Coturnix japonica: one gene and its partner. The protein of the gene in region 2 interacts with the protein of the main gene of each other region in a pairwise test. Links are inferred from orthologs where the notes say so. Each region holds a gene or a part of one and is shown on either strand. Other genes may lie near its edges.

Evidence for each region.
Region 1: the proteins of EPN2 (region 2) and WBP2 interact in binary tests that used the Homo sapiens proteins (3 or more experiments, as listed by UniProt). The link is inferred for Coturnix japonica from reciprocal best matches to the Homo sapiens genes EPN2 and WBP2.

What each region holds. Positions count from the first base shown.
Region 1 is NC_029533.1:4,035,766-4,040,133, reverse strand, and holds the start of WBP2 (WW domain-binding protein 2), read right to left. Parts: upstream 3,057-4,368; 5' UTR 2,981-3,056; coding exon 2,922-2,980; intron 2,086-2,921; coding exon 1,977-2,085; intron 1,443-1,976; coding exon 1,307-1,442; intron 1-1,306. UniProt on the Homo sapiens protein: Acts as a transcriptional coactivator of estrogen and progesterone receptors (ESR1 and PGR) upon hormone activation. In presence of estrogen, binds to ESR1-responsive promoters. Synergizes with YAP1 to enhance PGR activity.
Region 2 is NC_029529.1:5,217,019-5,220,830, reverse strand, and holds part of EPN2 (epsin-2), read right to left. Parts: intron 3,346-3,812; 5' UTR 3,169-3,345; coding exon 2,574-3,168; intron 1-2,573. UniProt on the Homo sapiens protein: Plays a role in the formation of clathrin-coated invaginations and endocytosis.

The DNA of each region.
Region 1 (4,368 bases), on a different chromosome or scaffold from region 2:
TGAAGTTGTGCCTATCACACAGGCTGCCAATAGCTCAAGCTATCAGGAGGGCTGAATTTACTCTAGCTTTGTACTTGATTAGTGCAGAAGACAGGGATTCTGTTAATCCCATTTGCTAGAAGGGTTTTGTAACTACACCTAACTGCCCACTGCAAATTAGTTTGGGAGTCTGAGCGCCCAGTGAAGCAAAGAGCTTAATGAAAAAAACAAGTATCGCATAAATCCATTAGAGTTCATAGAAAATATTTCAAGTCAGGATAATAATAATTAAAAAATAAAAACGAATTAGCCACTTCTCTTATTACAGGCTAAAAAAGAAAACCACGCACAGCCCAGAGTGCCAACAATGCATCAAAGCAGTAGCTGTGTCAGTAATGAAACAGGGATACAGAGATAAAAGAGCCTTTTGAGCTAAGCCAGACTCCTCTGGCTGTTGCAGCAACATCCTCATTAACTAAGCCAGCCTCTGGGGGGGGACTCACAGAGATTTTGTTAAAGCAGTTTGCCTTTCACACAGTTTAGTGTTTGTCCTTAGTGCTCAGCTCTCCTCTCACACTGGATGGTCTTGTTTTGCTGCCATAGAAAAGCTACAAGGCTGATTTCAGGGTAATAGGCTGAAGCCCTCTGAGCAGTGCACTGTGTTGCAGTGCCACAGCTAAGGGAATAAATCAGGCTCTGGATGAAATAAGTGCCTTGGTAAGAAGTAGAAGCATAGGACAGTGATAAAAGTATCTCTTAGGAAAAAAGAAGTCTACCACAACTCCTCATTGAACATATTATAAAGCTGCCCTTGAACATTCCCTAAGCTCAAGGTAATCCATCATCTTCCAAACAATACAGCAGTGCTTTTCCTAAACTGCACAATAAACGGATGTTGGAGATTCACACCTCGAAATCCGTACAGATCCAGAACAGACCGCGAGTGTTTGGCACAGAAGGATCTGGATGCATAAATAAGAGAGAGGCTGAACTGACCAAGGCCAAGCAACGCCCTCAGTGCTGCTGTCACAGCCTGATCCCTGCTCTGATGTTTACTCAGTGAGATCACTCGGCTGCCTGAACTCTGAATTTCATACAGAGGGCAGGAATGAGATCAGTTACACAGCTAATCTGTTCACTGTAACTGCACAGAGCTGACAGGGGGGAATATTTTCAGCCGCTGGTTTCAAAGAGAAAAACACATTTTAGCAATACTGAAAGAACCTATGCATCCAGTATCCACTTCACATTACAATGAATAATTACTTTACTAGGAACTATAGAAGTTCTGCATCTTAGCTCAGCTTTGTATCAGTGCTATACGTACCTCCTGCCTCTGCTTTCACTGTACCCTTGATATAGTTTGCTCCAAAGACAGGCTGCTTAATCTCACAATCTTTCAACAAATAAAAGGCCATCCCAAAAGACTGCAGAGCATCCTTTCCCTTCGATATAAAGATAACCTGAAAAAGAAACAACATTACAAAGGGTGTTTAAAATGAACAGGAAACACTGCCCCGGTTTATTATCTGTGGACATTGCTGGTGGACTGAATCTGCCTCCCACACTCAAAGATCCTTGTAATTTCTGCAAGCCCCAGGGTTCTCAGAACTGTCACAAGGGTAAAATGATGCCTCAAGGCCATAAAGCCTTCCAGAAGGATTACACACTTGCTCAGATAACACTCCTCCCAGTTCCTAGAGAACTCACAGCTGTGATTTAGTAGCTGAACTGCTCCATTCCGCATTTCCAAACCATCGCTCATTTCCAATCTTGAAGATGCCTGGTGGACTAAAACAGCTGCCCAGGTAAGAACTAATGTCATGGTTGACAACTAATCAGATTGATTATCTTTTGCCAAATAGGCAGGACATGCAATGAAGCCACAGTGCTCCCCACAAGGGGAGGACGGGTACATTATCCAGACCTTCATGCACGTGTAGAAGTGCAGAGCCATGAAGAACTCTGATCTCTTTCTAATGCCTTTTACTACTTACTCGGTAGGGAGTCAAGAAAACACTCCCTTTCTTGGTCCCTTTGAACGCCTCAGGCATCGGTTCAGCATCACTGAAGGTCATTTCTACATGATCATAGGTCATCAGAACGCTGCAAACAAGATGAGAAGAGGCACAGTGTTAGAGCTTGGGGCAGATTCCAGCACGTAGAGTTCACTGACTTACCAGAACTGCCTTAACCTCAGCCCAGCACCCAGCACACATGCTCACTCTGCCTTGCACTTCTGCTTGCTCTCAGCCTCGTGTTCCTTCTTCAGTGAGCTGATACAGCTGTTTGCACAGCCGGCTGGTGAATCCAGTCAATTAAACTCAAGTTCTCAATGTATTTCTTGCATTATGTTGAATTTCTGCCCGATCATTTCCCTAAATTGCTTCACCACAAGCAACACAACACAGGTAGGGCTGCTTAGCAGGAACCCCTCAGCCTGGGTTATGCAATGAGGCGACCAGAGGTCACAAGAATCCATCTCAGTCACTATAACGTGATTGGGATCATTCCTCTTCTCACTCCTATAACCCCACACTGACTCCTTAAGCCTCAATCAGAAACCAGCCTGATTAAGACCAATAAAACACATCCATATGGATGCAGGTAGTATTGTCTTAATATGACAACATCCACGTCAGGTAAACCAGGCCCTAATGGTGTGCACAGCACATTTAGACCTATTACCATCCCCAGTCGTACAGAAGGGCACCTGGGCCACGAACCAGGGCCTATATGACGGCAATGAGCCACATAGGGTTAAACAAGGGTTAATGAGCCACATAGGGCACACCAAGGGTTAACCCCAACATGGCGGGGGGGGGGGGGGGGGGCGGGTGTTAGAGCCCCTCAGCCCCATATGACCCGCAGGAAAAGGCCATTTTGGACGGAAAGGGGCTCGGAGAAGGAGAGAGAAGAGGGCTGGGCCCCTGACCGCTCACCTCTCGCTGTTGTTAACGATGACGCCGCCGCCCTCCGAGTGGTTCCTGTTCAGCGCCATGTTCAGCGCCGCCTCCGCCTCACAGAGCCGAGCTCGCACTGCGCCTGCGCGAAGAAGAGCCCGCTGGGCGCGCGGTGCGCTCTGGGATTTGTAGTCTCGAGGGGGTGGTGTTCCCCGGGCATGCTGGGAGTTGTAGTCCTCTCGCTCGGCAGCCATGTTGGTTTTTTGGGGTGGTGTAGGTCGCTCCTTAAGGGTTATTTTCTGCCCCAAATCTCACCGCTTCACTCAGCCTCGTCTGCCGTCCCCGAGGAGCAGTGCCACCAATTAACGCTGCTATTAATTCCCCGAGCTCCAGCCAGCTGCTGAGATCATATTGACTTTGCTATACACAACCCAAAGAGCCGGGCTCCTTTTTGGGATAACCCATTTCCCATCCCATCAATCACCCCATTCTGCTCCCTCTGACCATATATAATAAAATGAGCTCAGTTCTTTGCAGCCTGCGTGACTTGGCAGCTCTTCTGCCAGCTTCCTATTTTAGATAGTACCACAGAGCTCACACAAACAAAGCACGGTTTGCCCAGTGCCCTGACTGCATTCCAATTCCCTTTTATTTTCCCCTTCCAGGACTTTATCTTTGGCTGCACTTTGCACGTTTTCATTGCTCACAATGAAAACGCCATTAATCTGGTTATACTGTGCACTAAATGAGGCTCAACCCCTTTAAAAGCAAAGGTTCCCCCCCACTTTCCAGGCTGTTTCAGTGCCCATTTTGTGTCCCAGACACCTGGGTTCCTACAATTAACCCACTGAGGGTTAAACTGGAGGGGCCAAAAAGTCACCCCATAGACAAAGAAAGCTGCTCTGTGGGCGAGAGGAAATCCGGGGACAGGAAAATACCTGCACTATTGGCACAGCTACAGTTTGGGTATAACCCACTGCCTCCAACTGGAGCTGACTCCTAAAACAATCATAACACCTGCATAACTGCATTAAAACCGCTGCAGAATGACATGTTTTGAAGGACTCCTCGTATCAACCCTCAGCATAATGTGTGAATATGTTTTAAGAGGTGATATGAGGCTAAATTACACCTTTTTTTTTGTATGGATTTGAGCTTTCCCTGCAGGGTTTGCAGCCCAGCCCCTCCTCCAGTGCCTGCAAATCCCCAGGGGCAGCGAGGAAACTGAAAGCTCCATAATGGAAACCAGACTGAAATCAACTCAGAGACATAAAGCGTACAGTTCTTGGCAAGAAAAGCACAGCTTTGTGCCTTTTGTATCCGCTTTTTCAATAAGCTGCAAGTTTCCCTTTTAAGAAATGCTCATAACCAACAGCCCCAATTCCTCTCCTATTAAAGTCAGTAGCACACATACACAGCTTCCCCCAATGCTCCCTGAGCTAACAGTGCCCCCAGTAATGCTCTTCTCATAGCTCTGGCTGACGTT
Region 2 (3,812 bases):
CCAACAAAGACATTAAGGCAAAGCTGTGGGGAGAAAAGATTTTAATGAAATCTACCACACTTCTCCTGTGCATTTCTCACTTTTTCTAGCTGATTGTTGGAAGTCAGATGAATAGATCTACAAGGAAAAGGGGAAAATGTCCCTACCCACCACTGTGCCTAGCCTGCAGCAGTAAGGGACGATGGTAAATCACTCCAGAGACCTTTATCCTTAATTCCCTCATCCTACACATGCCATCAGTGCTGTTTCTATTTTTCCAAGAAGGATAATTTAGAACTATTCTATCCAAACAAAACCTTCTAGATCAACATCGAATACAAAATCCAAACCATGTATGCACCGTAGACACAAGCCTACACACATGCTTGAGGAGCTGGAGAAGAGCAGCAGTTTGAGCATTGCAATATTTAGTCAGTGCTGTACAGCTGAGCTACTCATCTGCAATCCCCATCCACTGTGCCTAGCCAGGAATGAAAGTAAGGTCTGCTACCACCACCACACTTAGATGAAATATTTCACTTAACCATGCCAATAGAAAAGTTGTTACAGACTTCCCCCAACTTTAATTGCATTGAAATACAAATCAAACGTGCTAAACCTTTAGCAAGAATTAGTGTACTTTTTCTAAGAAGCAATCCTCATGCTACTGGGAAAGATCTAAATTAAATCTAGATGCCTCTATACAGGAGAGTCTGTAACAAAGGAGGAATCTACAGGGGGAAAAAAAGACAAGCCTGAGATTTCTAAAGCTTCTTAGGTACGAGCATTAGGAGGGAAGAGGGAAAAATGGCTAAGAAATCATTATTAAGATTGCTTTTCAGGTAGAGATAAGCAGCAAACCAACACACAGGCAAATGAGAACATCAAGTAACCTCACGCTCAGTACTGAGACAATGAGCAAACTTGCTTCCTGACATCTCGTCCCCCATCAAAATTCCTCAAATGTCCAAGGAATAACAACTCAGAAACACACCCTGCATTGCTCAACCCTTGCTGTGAGAAATAGCTGGGAGCCTCTGGCAGCACTCAGTATGACAAACACCGGTTGTGTGCCCCAATTAAAGTACGAGCTGGTGAAGAAATAGTGTGGGACAAACCAGAGGTGTGCTCAGTGCACCCTGGTGGCTGTTAGTTCTGTCCTTCAGCAGGTGTTAAAAACAATAATATTCCAAGCTATCTCCTTAAGTGGGGATAAGTTTTTAAGGTCGATAAATGAGGTCTGAGGTCTACATGAAAGAAAAAAAGTGTTACGGCAGTGACAGAAATATGTCTCCTTTAAAAAAATCACATTGAATCAATGCTCCAGTCTGGTGATTAAAGGAAACCTAAAATATTTATCATTCCATTGTTACAATAAGAGACAAAATAGAAGCTGCCATACCCGGTATCTTCACAAGCTTTTTGCTTATAACCCTGGGTCCTAAATGCATTTCGTTCTGGAAAAACATTACTTTTCCTGCTTTTCCTCTACAGCCTTGATGAGACTGAGATATTCTTCATCCCAGCTTGATTTGTCCTGCCAGCTTCCTACTGCCTACCCCAAAACCTGCCCATACACAACACAGGTACTGACACCATTCCCACACTTACAACTCGAGCAGCACTTTGGGATGCAGGACATGAGAAACTGGAGATTCATAAAGCTGGTACTATCGATTCACCACACTGGCTCTGTTACAGACCCCCACACACTATAAGCATTCATTTAAAGAAAAGATTTTCCTTCAGAATTAGACCACAACCACTGACATTTCAGCCAGAGCAGCTTTCATCAGATCATTACTTATATTAAGAAGGATTTAGTGCCAACTCAGGCCTCTTCCTAACATGACAGGGAGTTCCCCCAAGGGCTGGTATAAAGAATCCATTCTTCCCACATCACTGTACTTTTCTGGAGGTCTTATTTATTTATTTTAAGAATGAAATACAGTATTTACTATTGATGCCAAATGTTGATTGTATAAATATCAAAATACTGACACATTCAAAGTGTTACTACTCTACGAGCAGCTGAGCAAGCAAGAAAAGCAAGAAAGGAACTTCAATCCCAATACTCTTGTTAAAATAGAACAGCAGCGCCATGAACTACCTAGCACAATGTGAGACAAACCTGCTATTCCTAACTTTCTTCCAATTACATTTAAAAGGGAAGAGAAAGAAAAACACACAAGAAAGGTCAAGTAATTCTTTTAAAAATAGTGAAAAAAGAAAAAAAAAAAAATCAATTAACTATCTCCCTCCTGAGATTGAGGACCTCTCACATCAAACACTGGAATGCATTCACAAATTCAGCTCTACAATGCTATGCTTGGGGACTGGCAGTAAACAACTGCTTTATAAATTGAGTTATATCAACACACACATCCTCTCCAGACCAAAAACCCAGCCCAAGAGACCCCAGTGCCACAGAACAGGACTTCTAAGATTCAGCTCTTGCAAACAGTACCTTAACCCTTCTAGAAAGAACCACATACTCTCACATCTGATGGCAAATCAGAATAGAAAATATCTCAAAAAAAAAAAATAATAAATAAAAAGAAAGAAAAAAGCTTTCCACGTTTGCTTGTACTTACAGCCATGATAGGATGCTGGGGAGCCTCCAGACTTGCCATACTCCTGCTCCGAGTAGCTGGTGGACAAGTTGGGTTGACTGGAGCCCCGACCAAAGGTGATCTGGTTGCTGCCCACCCCGGTGGCCACCTGAGCCATGCGTTCTTTGGTCTTCAGTGCCTGGGCCCTCTCTGTCTTCAGTCGCTCGTCATCCTTCAGCAGAGACACGAGCTGCTTGGATTTCTCCCTTACATTGATGCCCTGGTCTTTACCATCTCGATCAATATACTGGAAATCTTTCAACGTTTGGATAGCAAAAATATTCTCTTTACACTGCTGAGCTACTCTCTCAGAACCAGTTTTAATCAGGTAATCTAACAGAGTAAGAGCCTTGTACACGTGTCGCCAGTTCTTGCCGTGGTCATTGAGTCGCTTCCAGATCATGCTCATAATTTCAGAGAAGGCCACAACGTTGTAGGTCAGATCTGCTATTTCAGTCATCAGTGAACTTGAGGGACCCCATGGGTCATTGGAGGTCGCTTCCCGGACTTTGATTTCGGCCTCCGAGTAATTGTTCACAATGTTCTTCATCTGCCGCCTAATAGACGAAGTCGTCATTTTTATTTCCCTTTTTAATAGGACAGACGTTAGAACACAAAGAAAAGGGCTATATCTGCTCTTCTATGAACGTTTCTGAACTACGACGAATCCGTATCTGTGGCTTATCTGTAAGAAGTTCCACTACAATCATTTCCTCTCTTCAAGAGAATGACACGAGAAAATGAAAATCATGACCTAAGCAAGAAAAGAAAACAAAGCACAATTAGTTGTGTCTTCAATTATCCCTGCTTGGAAAGCAAACTGGATACACTTCTGAGCAATTCTGTTAAGAGCTGAATGATGAATTTTCTCTCCAAGTTTCTTAGGAGAGCCACATTTTGGAGCCAACTTTCTCCTCCCACCTCAAGAATAAGGGGTAATTACTGCGAAGTTGTGCTATAAAACAATATTAGAGCCCCGTAACATCTGAGCTACTGAACAACATGAAAGCAAGAAAATCCCCATCCTGATGCAAAGGTAAAATCTGAAAAGGGAACCAAAGCCCAAGAAATAAATTGCCTCGAATTTTTAATTCCAGGAAATACAATATTAGCATCCAGAGTTTATGGGAAATCACATTAGAGCTGACAGTTGCAGTCTGCTCCCGTTGCTGCAGTAATCTTGTGCTGAGAGAACAAGAGAATTTCCTGCAAGTTAACCAA